Linked DNA regions of Drosophila melanogaster. The protein of the gene in region 2 interacts with the protein of the main gene of each other region in a pairwise test. Each region holds a gene or a part of one and is shown on either strand. Other genes may lie near its edges.

Region 1 (4,877 bases), on a different chromosome or scaffold from region 2:
TACCTTGTTAATTATTTCACACGCACACACATGCATACACCACCTCAAATTCCCTTGGGTGGACCTTAACTGTGGGTTGATTTCAAGGCTGTGAACTCTTTTTATCGTAATACATGTGACCCATATCTATCATAAGAAAAATCAAGTACTGGCATCGTGTTTAAAAACTCTCTTCTTCAATTTAGTTTAGCTTTCCTTCTAAACTAGCAGAGCGACGTGACTGATCATGTTCTGTCGAAGTGCGACCCTGCGAGTTTTTAAGTTAAGGTCCACCCTTGTGTTTGGCCATACAAAAGCTCCTGTTTTCTAACGTGTCACGTGTTTGGCTTGTTTGCATTTGAGTTTGTGTGTGCTTGTTAGCCGTTTAACATTTCTGACACGCCAAGCGCAGCCACTGAAACTGTAACGATAACGGGAGAAGAGGAAGCACCAGCGGGATACGCCGAACAAGAGGAATAGGGACAAGAAGAACCAAAACAATGGGAAGAATGGAAAGAGGTAGGGGGAGAGGACCCAAGCGAAACGAAACGAAAAGGATTATGCAACTGCCACTGACAGCGGGCAACACAATTTGCACCCAGGGGTCCAATAGAAAGGGACGGGGTCACAGAGCGAGACGCGGAGCGAGCGGGAGAGAGCCATAGGGGACTAGAATGAGATGGAGCACGGCGGTAGAGCAGAACTTTTGCAAATTATACAACAGGCAAGACCCACAAAACAGACAACTGCAAACCAACCGCCCGTCTCGAAATGGATGGACATATGGACAGAGAGAGATGAGAGGCGGATACGTTGCTGAAAAAAAGAAAAGATGGGCGAGCAAAAAAAAAAGTGTACTGCAAACAGTGCTGCCAAAAATCCAAAAGTAGCTAAGAGCTAATCCAGACAAAACTGTCAAATGAGAAAAACAAGCTGTCAAATCTTGGGCAAAAATGTCTCAATAAATGGGAACGGCTTAAAAAACTGCTTAAATATACAATGATAAGGCAACAATGGCAGGGAAATTAACTTTTCTTAATAGGAAAGTATTTAGTTATAGTGATAATTAGGTTCATCTTAAGCTTGAGACTATAGGTAATATGAGGGAAACCAACAAGTTGCTAGTGAAAATCAATGGCTCCTTCGCCATATGCCACCAAAATGCACTCCATGATGCAACTGGAGCACTAATCAGGCCGTCTATCGACCCTTTTGAGTAACCAGAGTCGGTAAAGAAAAAAAAAACAAGCTGAATTAGCCGCATTACTATGGGACGCTTGCTGTTTCCATTGCGCTGCGCTGCTTGGTCTATTTGACCCAAATCCTATGCAATATTATCGTTTTGCTGTCGCTGTTGCTGCAATTCCCTTTGTTGCTACTTTGTGCTCACTGCTTGCTTGTCAAGTGAAAATAATTTGCAACGCGAGGGGAGGGACAAGAAAATCGATAGGCGATAGGCAATGGACGATAGACAACTGCACAGATAAGAACTACTTTTCAAGGATCTTTCTTTCCGGCTCATCAACTACTTTCTAACAATCTTGGCACAAAGTTCGCAACTTTGTTTGCGTTTAAAGTTTCAGAATCAATAGACGATGATGATGAGCTTGGTTAAGGCTCTTGCTTATAACGAACTTGTGAAAAACTTATTTAGCACACTGACCTATATAATAAAGTATTTCACAAAAATGCACTTATCTAGCGGCAATTATTTAGATATTTTTAAAGGCAAAAACTTACGAGCGACGCGAATAGCGTCTAAGATATACATATAGGATATTTTCATCGATTTAATCGATACATTATCGATTACTCACCTAACAGCGCTTGAAACAAGCGAGATTTAAATATGCGTATAACGCGTTCGATTGCAATACGCAGCGCCCGATCCTGCGGCTCCGAAAGTCTCGCGTGGTAGTCCTCGAGCAGCTCGAGAGCCCGATGAGCTTCTGAAATATATAGAGAAAAGAATATGGTTAGTACAAATGATCTTCGATTGTTTTATTATGAAATCAACCCAAAAGACCAAGGGATTCTGCCTGCCCATTTTTCCCCACTGGATTAGTGCCTACTCTGTATGTCCGCAATGCGCTCCTCCTCATCCTGACTGATCGCCAGACCCGCCTGGCCGAAGATCGTTGACCAGAAGCCCCTCTCGGAACCCTGTTCCGAACCACTTTCCCCAGCCGCATCCTGTACGTGGGATCTCTGCTTGGGCTTTGGCTTCGCCTTGCTCTTGGCCTTCAACTGCAGCTCCGATTGCGATTTCTCGAGACTTTCCCGCTCGAGAGTCTCGATCATGGTGCGAAATCGGCTCAGTTCCATGCGCAAACCCTCGGCACTGTGGCGACTCGACGAAGAGACGGAGAGTCCGGAAATGCCGGAGAGAAGGCGACAACGGGCTGCGCCCGAGGATGACGACGACGGACCCTCCCACTCGTCGCGCGAAGCATCGCTCTCGGACTTCTCAAAGTAGCCAGACTCCACATCCGGTGTTCGGACCATCGAAGTGGAGGACAGCATGTGTCCGTACTCGAGAAGATCCTGGGCGGAATAGAAGCATTCAACGGACTCGCGGACACTATCGCGCAGGGATGTTGGACACTTCGGAGGCTCGGGATCCGGTTCGGTTACGGTCTCCATTTGGTGTTCCATCACCTCCAGTTGCGAATCCCCATCCATATCGCTAGCTTTGGCAGCTACTGCCACCGGATTGGTATCATCGATTTCTTGGCGCACTTCTATGGCTTCCGCCGACGGCTGTACCAAGACCACCAAAGGTGGCTGGTCTTGGTCGCAGCGAATCTGTGCCTTCTTCTGCGGCAGCAGGCACTCCTCCTCCTCGGGCTCCTCCTCATCGTCCGCCGGAGAGGAATCCTCCGCCGGTTCATCATCGTCGTGGAATGTCTTGTCATCGCTACTGAGCAGTCCCTCGTTGGGATCGCTGCTCTTCTCCCGCTCCGAGTCCGTATCCGAATCCATTACCAGGACCAGCCAAGAAGACACCTCTCTTCGCGCCCAAGTGCCGCACTCAACTGGCTAGACTTTTGAGCTCTATTATGGTTCTATAGTTTGGTGGCTGCTACCGCCGATAAATCAATAAAGATTGACGCTTTTTAAACATTTTTCACCGCTTGTCGGACGCCAGTTATTAACGCTTTTTTTTTTTTGTTTTTTTGTTTCCATGAAGGGTGTGTGCCTAAAATTCCCCATCCTAAATGCTTTAACTTGAAAATCTGAATAGCAACGAAGTTGTGTGTTGCTGCGCATAGTTTGATGTCCCCATGCGAAGAGGTCAGGGGTCAAGTGCCATACCGTCGCTGGCTTGTCATTCGTGCCGCGTTTGCCAAAAAATTAAACACATAATTTATTATTATAATCGAGTCGCATTATGGTCCCAAAACACACGCACACACACACACATACAGAGCACACAAACCAAACTATACATACTCGTATCTAAATGAACATTGTATCTGTGGCCGCAGTTTGATGTCCTCAGCACGCGTCAAACGCCGACGTTGACCTTCACTGACCATTTGCGAGGCTGCTGGCAGCGCTTTTCCCCGGTTTTCCCATTTTCCGTCTGCTGCGGCTCCTCTCTTTCCCCCTCCCCCTTCCCCCTTCCGCACCATTTCATTTCATCTCTTCTGTTGGCCATTTGAGTTGCCCAAATATGATTTGTATGTGACATAATCAAATAAAATTCTTTGTCTGCATTAATTTAGCTGGTTTTTTATGTATTTTTTTTTTTTTTTTTTGTTGCATAGCTTCCAATGCACAGTTGGATACATTGTTTGTTTGGCCAAAAGTGCCATCTCGTGTGTAATTGGAAGCAGCTTTGCTGGCTAACTTTGCGCAGCACGTAAAAGTTAAATGATCTACTAAAATTACAATTGAAAAACTAATGCCAACTTTCTATATACTATATGGTGCTTAAAACTTTCACCAGCAAATCAATGCAGTTTTGCATAGACATAGCTTTTTTAATAGGTTCTAACTTTATTTCACAATAGTTAAGGTTATTTTTCTAAATTTGTTATGCATAGAATTATGTAAAATGTGATCTTAAACCATTGTGTTAAGTTTTAAACTACTTTTTCAATTGCTGAAAACTGGCAAACAGTTTTCACTGTCCACCATTCATAAGGTCCATTCAATTGAATGGATTTCCACGTAATGCCAAAGACAGATATGTAGAACAGAAAATAAAAAAAGAAGAAGAAGGAGGGAAAGGTGGGAAAGGTGGGCAGTGAATAAAAGTGCAATTTTTCGCTTACCTTGCTTTTTCACTGGCATTCTGTGAGCGGTGTTTCTGCTACTATTTATGGTGGTGCTGGTGGAAATGGCAGCGGAAATGGCGGTGGTGCAGCAGCTTTGATTGTGGTTCAACGCCGCCGAACTGGGAAAAGCGTGGGTCGCAATTTTGAGAATTTACTGGAGTCGCTTTCGAGTGGAAATGTGCGGAAAAATCGCTTTGGCTTTTCCTTGAGTTCTCCTCCTTTTAGTTTCGCCAGCACATCTGTATATATATCTGATATATATGTATATATATATATATACTATTCGATGGTGTTTTATGTACAAATATTGTTTTGTTAGATACTTTGGCTTTCGAACAAAGTTCGAGATTTGTTGTTTTTTTTTTAATTTTGCGCTTTCAGTTTGCTAGTTTATTTTTTAATTTCTTTATATATTTTACTTTTCGTTTTCTTGGGGCAGCTTTGTGGTTACATTGACGTGTGCGTTTTCTCTCGATTTCTTTGCGATTTTCACATTTCACAGCTCAATGGCTCCTCACATTCACATTCGGTTCTATAGCATTTATGTTGCACTTTATATTGCAATGCGACTATCATCGAAATGTCGTACTTTCCTCGTCACAACACAACAACACC
Region 2 (5,073 bases):
TTAATGATACCATTTAAGTATTAGAAGCAATTTTATGTGCTCGCCCGTTTTGAAGGCTATCTATCACCTGGGCGCATATTTTTAGATAACCATGACATGTAAAATAAAATAATTGAACACAAGTCTAAGAAGAAAAGTGTCTATCCTTGATAATTTATTTTTAAAATGTTGTTTGCGAAATACTCAAAGAGCAATTGTATTTAACAACAATAGACAAAGGGAAAGAGACGCCTAACTACAGAATATATACATATGTATTTATTATTAAACTATACTTTAAGAATATTGATAACTATATTAGTGCCATTATCATAATACAAAATTTTTAAGGTCATATAAAAATCCACATACATTGTGGATTATGTTTCCAATTTTTGTGGAGATTCGCAGTACTTAATGAGCCTAAAACTATTATTATTGCTATTTTTGTGCCCTCAGCTGTACGCGCATATGTAGAAGACCGAGTGTGGTGCTCTTGTTTTTCCTGGGCTTCATACCTGAGCAATTAGTGCGACGTTTTCGATTGCGCATGCAGTAGCCCAAAGAGCAGCAGCTGCTGTTTTCGTGTTATTTTTTCTGGGTTTTTGCTCTCCTCGGGCAGCTGACAAGGAGCCAAAAGCCAGCGGCAGAGGGGCTGGCGTAAACAAAGTGAGCTCTTGCAAAATGACAGCTGACAATGGGATCGTACGCCACGTCGAGCTCCGCGCACAGCCCAAGTCTGCAGCCAAGTGCACAATAATAATGGCAACAAAACAATATCAAGTCGGAGTGAAAAAGCTGCAGTCAGCGTCGTCGCCAGTCTGCCGTTGAGATTTCATAAAGTTATTGAACGTTTTTCAAGCGAAAAACAAAATTCGGATTGCAAGCAGAAAACAAAAATGTAAAGGCGATAAAGTGCCGAGCGAAGCAAAGTGCTAAAATGCGGATAGACGAGAAAATATATTCGGATTTGGGCATATCACGAAGTTTGACAGCCACTGCGGATAACCTGTTGCTGTTGCAACTAGAACAACAGCAACAACAACTGCAGCACTTGCCACATAAATGGCCATTCGTGTTGGGAAGGTATTTAACACAAGGTCGCGAAAACAATGAGCCAAACGACTTTAGACCGCTTATCTAAGTGCTCGTAGCTCGTTGGTAATTGTAGAAGCCTCTGCTGGACGCGGGCAAGAAGCTAATTGCATGAACACAGGCCACCCAGCCCCACCCAGTCCCACCCACCCACTCACACTCTGCATGATGGAATAATGGCAGGATGGGCAAAGGGGCAATCGGGCGATCGGAGTGGAGCCCCAAACAGCGGAGGCGACAAAGTAAACAAGGTGTTAATTTCCACTGGTTCGGTATTCCCTCGGTTTCTTTTCACCGAGATGCTCAGAAAAAGGGTATTCCCAGGGTATGGCGATTTCAGGAGGAGTTTAATATACATGTGTATATATTATGATTATATTTTAGTATTGCTTGCAATCAAATTAAATAGTAAGTCCAGCGCTAGTAAATATCATTTAAATTCTTAGAACACAATAAATATGTTTATTAATTTTAACTTTTTCAAAAACAGAAAAGGAAACAATAAAATCAATTGTTTTAGAAAATATTAAAATATTAATCTAATATGTTAATATGCGTCTGTTTCTAATTAGCCCCAGTGAAAAAACTTTGCTATAGGGTATAGCGAGACCTGCTCCCCAATTCCCCCACTGACTTATTTTTGCTTCTCCTCCCTTTTGCGCCTTTGCAAATTGAATTCCCCGCGTGTTGCGAAAGCAGATAAGATTGGAGCACGTTCTCCGCCAAACACAGCCACCCACACAGAAGCTACTCCACGCATACAAAGCGGCAGATGACGGGCGATAAGCTGTCCGTGATAACGCACTTGACTTTGAGCGCGAATCGTGTGAGGAATACACACACACACATTGGGGGAGCTCCCACTTATGTAGATCCTAGCTAGAATTGAATAGGGCATAAGATGAATGGGTCTACTTACGAACTGTGACCGTTTTCGGATCGTAGGCACAGACGCGTCGCTCCACGGCGGCAATCTTCCGCTGCACACGACCCGCCCGCTCGCCCACCGCCTGCAGATCCCGCTGCAGGTCGTCGAAGATATCGCTGGCTATGAGGACCAAGCTGGCCAGCTGCCGCAGGGCGTTGCTCAGCGTTATGTTGCTGATCGAGTCGAACTCGTGGCCGGAGACCACCTTGGAGGAGCCGGCAGTGGGCGACTGCGGTGCACTGGCGATCCTTCCAAGCGCCGGCCTCTGCTGGCTGGGATGCCGCGAATTGGGCAGGGATTGCGACTGATGGCGAGTGGGCGAGGTGGACAGGAACTCGACGTGGTGCTTTAGCTTCTTCATGGGCGCCGGAGCGGGCGGTACGGGTTGATCCTCCGGCGCCTGGTGAACCAGAACCCTGGTAAGGGATGTGGGTGATCCGTGGCCATTGGGGACCTCTACATCCGGCGACTGCTTGTTAATGCAGTTGTTGTTCCGGCACTTGCCCGGCGTGCAGTGGAATCGTCCGGATGCGTGGCCCAAACTGGCCGCCGTGGCCTGGGCCACATTGACGGGCTGCACCACGCGCTGGACGAAGGGCATCTCTCGCTGGCTCTCGCACTCTTGATCTCTCTGGCGGCCACTAGCTGCTCCAACTCATTCGCTCCGCTTCGAAGGCACCGGCCAACATAAAATAAAAGGTAATCCAAGTAATCCCGACACACACACACACACACGAGCACACGGGCACCGAAAACTGGTCGGACAACTTCTGGACTTGAATCCTCCGCAGTCGCAGCCTCCTAGCTATTGTCTACTACTTTCGGCCAAATTCCTTGGCCTTTTCACACGCACTCACAAACTAGTTTAAATCAACTGGTTTATTGCTGCCCCCCAAATTTTTGTGGCTAGTTCTCAGCCTTGCATAATTAGCGCGCCGCACTCGAATTGCCCGTGGTTGTGGCGATTTTAATGGCCCGGCCACCGTTACGCGTCGTTCGAAAGGTGTGTTAGCCGGCAAAATTACAAAAACCGACCGTCCGCGCTGACGTCTTCGTATTTCGCCGGTTTCAAAATAACTGCCAGTGTGCCCAATACATGGCAAGGGCAGTGAAGTCGCAGATAAATCATCTGCCCGTGTGACCGTTCGTCCAAGCTGCTTGAGTATGTCACCGACTAGGGTTCAAAACTCTGCTTAGCTTAGTCAGGACACACTGCACACACTAACAGTGTGTTACCTGCTGTAACACTTAACAGTGCACAGTGGGCATTCAACACAAAACATTAATATATAATGCATGATTTATATTTATTTTTATGTTGTATCTGTTTGAATATATAAATAAATATAAAATGCAAGCTGACAAACCCAAATCAAATATCTCCATGAGTTTCAAGCTGAATGTTGCTGTTAAACATATCGATATACACAGCGGCAGAGTTGCCAGACAGCAGCATGTCTCAGTAGCTTATCACCCTTGTCGAAATACGGTCATACGACTGCGAAAAATAATAAATAAAACTACAGTGAACCGAATTTCCTTAGCTAAGATAAATAAATTAGTGCAATGCCAAAGTACTATTGCGACTACTGCGACACCTACTTGACCCACGACTCGCCCTCGGTGCGGAAAACCCACTGCACCGGCCGCAAGCATCGCGACAATGTAAAGTTCTACTACCAAAAGTGGATGGAGGAACAGGCGCAGCATTTGATTGACGCCACTACCGCCGCCTTCAAAGCGGGCAAGATCACGAACAATCCGTTTGCCGGCGGGCCAGGAGGAGCGCCTCCCAAGCCGGCGGGCGTGTCCATTCCGCCGCCCAACATGGGGGCTCCTCCGCGTCCGGGAATGCCTGGAATGCCCTATATGCCTCCACTGATGAACCCCATGATGGGCATGCGTCCGCCACCGATTATGAATCCCATGGCCATGATGGGACCACCGCCTCCACTGGGCACTATACCCGGCGTCCGTCCAGGAATCATGAACGGACCCAAGTGAACGCCCTCAGGAACGGCATCAACGTTCACAGCACAGATGGAGTGCTCTCCTTGCGATGTCCTAATTAAGCTGTAGCATTTAAGTAAGCCCGATAGCGAAAACAATTAATTATATACATTTATATAAAGCAAGTTGACTCAACAAATGGTTGTCTTTGTGGGTGGAAGTCAATAGAGAAATAAAGTATATATATTTAGGTCAGTAATGAGAAGCGCATGCAGTCACATTAGAGTTCAGCAGGCATAAGATCACGCCGCTTTTACGGTGCACACATTATTATGACTTTAAAAAACCCCGCTTCAGAAAAAGATAACAAAAATCAATGCTAGAGAAGGCATTTAATGATTTCATTGTCCAACACAATATAGTTAAAATGCAAGTGAACTGAAATGCTAACACAAAAATAGTAGGTGCCTTGCCTTTAACATAAACATTCACAGTTTTTATTACAATATTTTGAGCTTACATACTAGTTGCTGTGAAGAGAATATAATGTGGATTATAATTGTTAATATACGAATGTGTTAATCATTGGCTCGAAGTGTAAGTTTCTGCCTTTGTCCCGCGAATCGGCTCGTCTAGGCCTCTTATAATATTATTTTAAACGTCTGTACTACACACAATTAGGTACTAATGGGATAATGGTTATCTGGCGACCCTCTGGCGCTTGCTGGGCGACACCAGAACCGGCGAGGGCTGTTGGTTACTTGAGATGGCGTCGAATATGCTGCTCTCCGAGCGCTGGTACTCGGTGCCAATGTTTTCCAGGTTCAGATCGGCATCGAGGACTAGGACCTGAGGAAAAATGCATATTTAGCGGCTTCGGTAGATGTGAGCTTGTGTAGAAACTACCTTGCACGACTGCGGTCGTCTCTGGTGTATCAACCAGTCCTCGTGCAACTCATGCAGCTCCTGAAGGTACTTAAGCGGCACGCAGCTCTCCTCAGAACGAGCCCGCTGCCGGATGCGTTCGTACGCCACCTCCGGCGAGGTGCGCAGATATATGATGAGGTCCGCCTGCACGTGAATGGACTCTTCGATGAACTTGTACCACTCCTCCAGCGTAT

What was found.
Region 1: the proteins of gukh (region 2) and dlg1 interact in a two-hybrid assay, tested with the Drosophila melanogaster proteins (4 studies listed by BioGRID).

The regions. Positions count from the first base shown.
Region 1 is NC_004354.4:11,373,893-11,378,769, reverse strand, and holds the start of dlg1 (discs large 1), read right to left. Parts: upstream 3,008-4,877; 5' UTR 2,962-3,007; coding exon 2,052-2,961; intron 1,929-2,051; coding exon 1,797-1,928; intron 1-1,796. UniProt on the Drosophila melanogaster protein: During embryonic development, some isoforms are essential for proper neuronal differentiation and organization. Required for cell polarity; maintenance of apicobasal polarity.
Region 2 is NT_033777.3:18,982,036-18,987,108, reverse strand, and holds the start of gukh (GUK-holder), read right to left. Parts: upstream 3,085-5,073; 5' UTR 2,604-3,084; coding exon 1,994-2,603; intron 1-1,993. Other genes in the region: snRNP-U1-C (small ribonucleoprotein particle U1 subunit C), read left to right, coding at 3,569-4,006; dnk (deoxyribonucleoside kinase), read right to left, coding at 4,652-4,801, 4,859-5,073.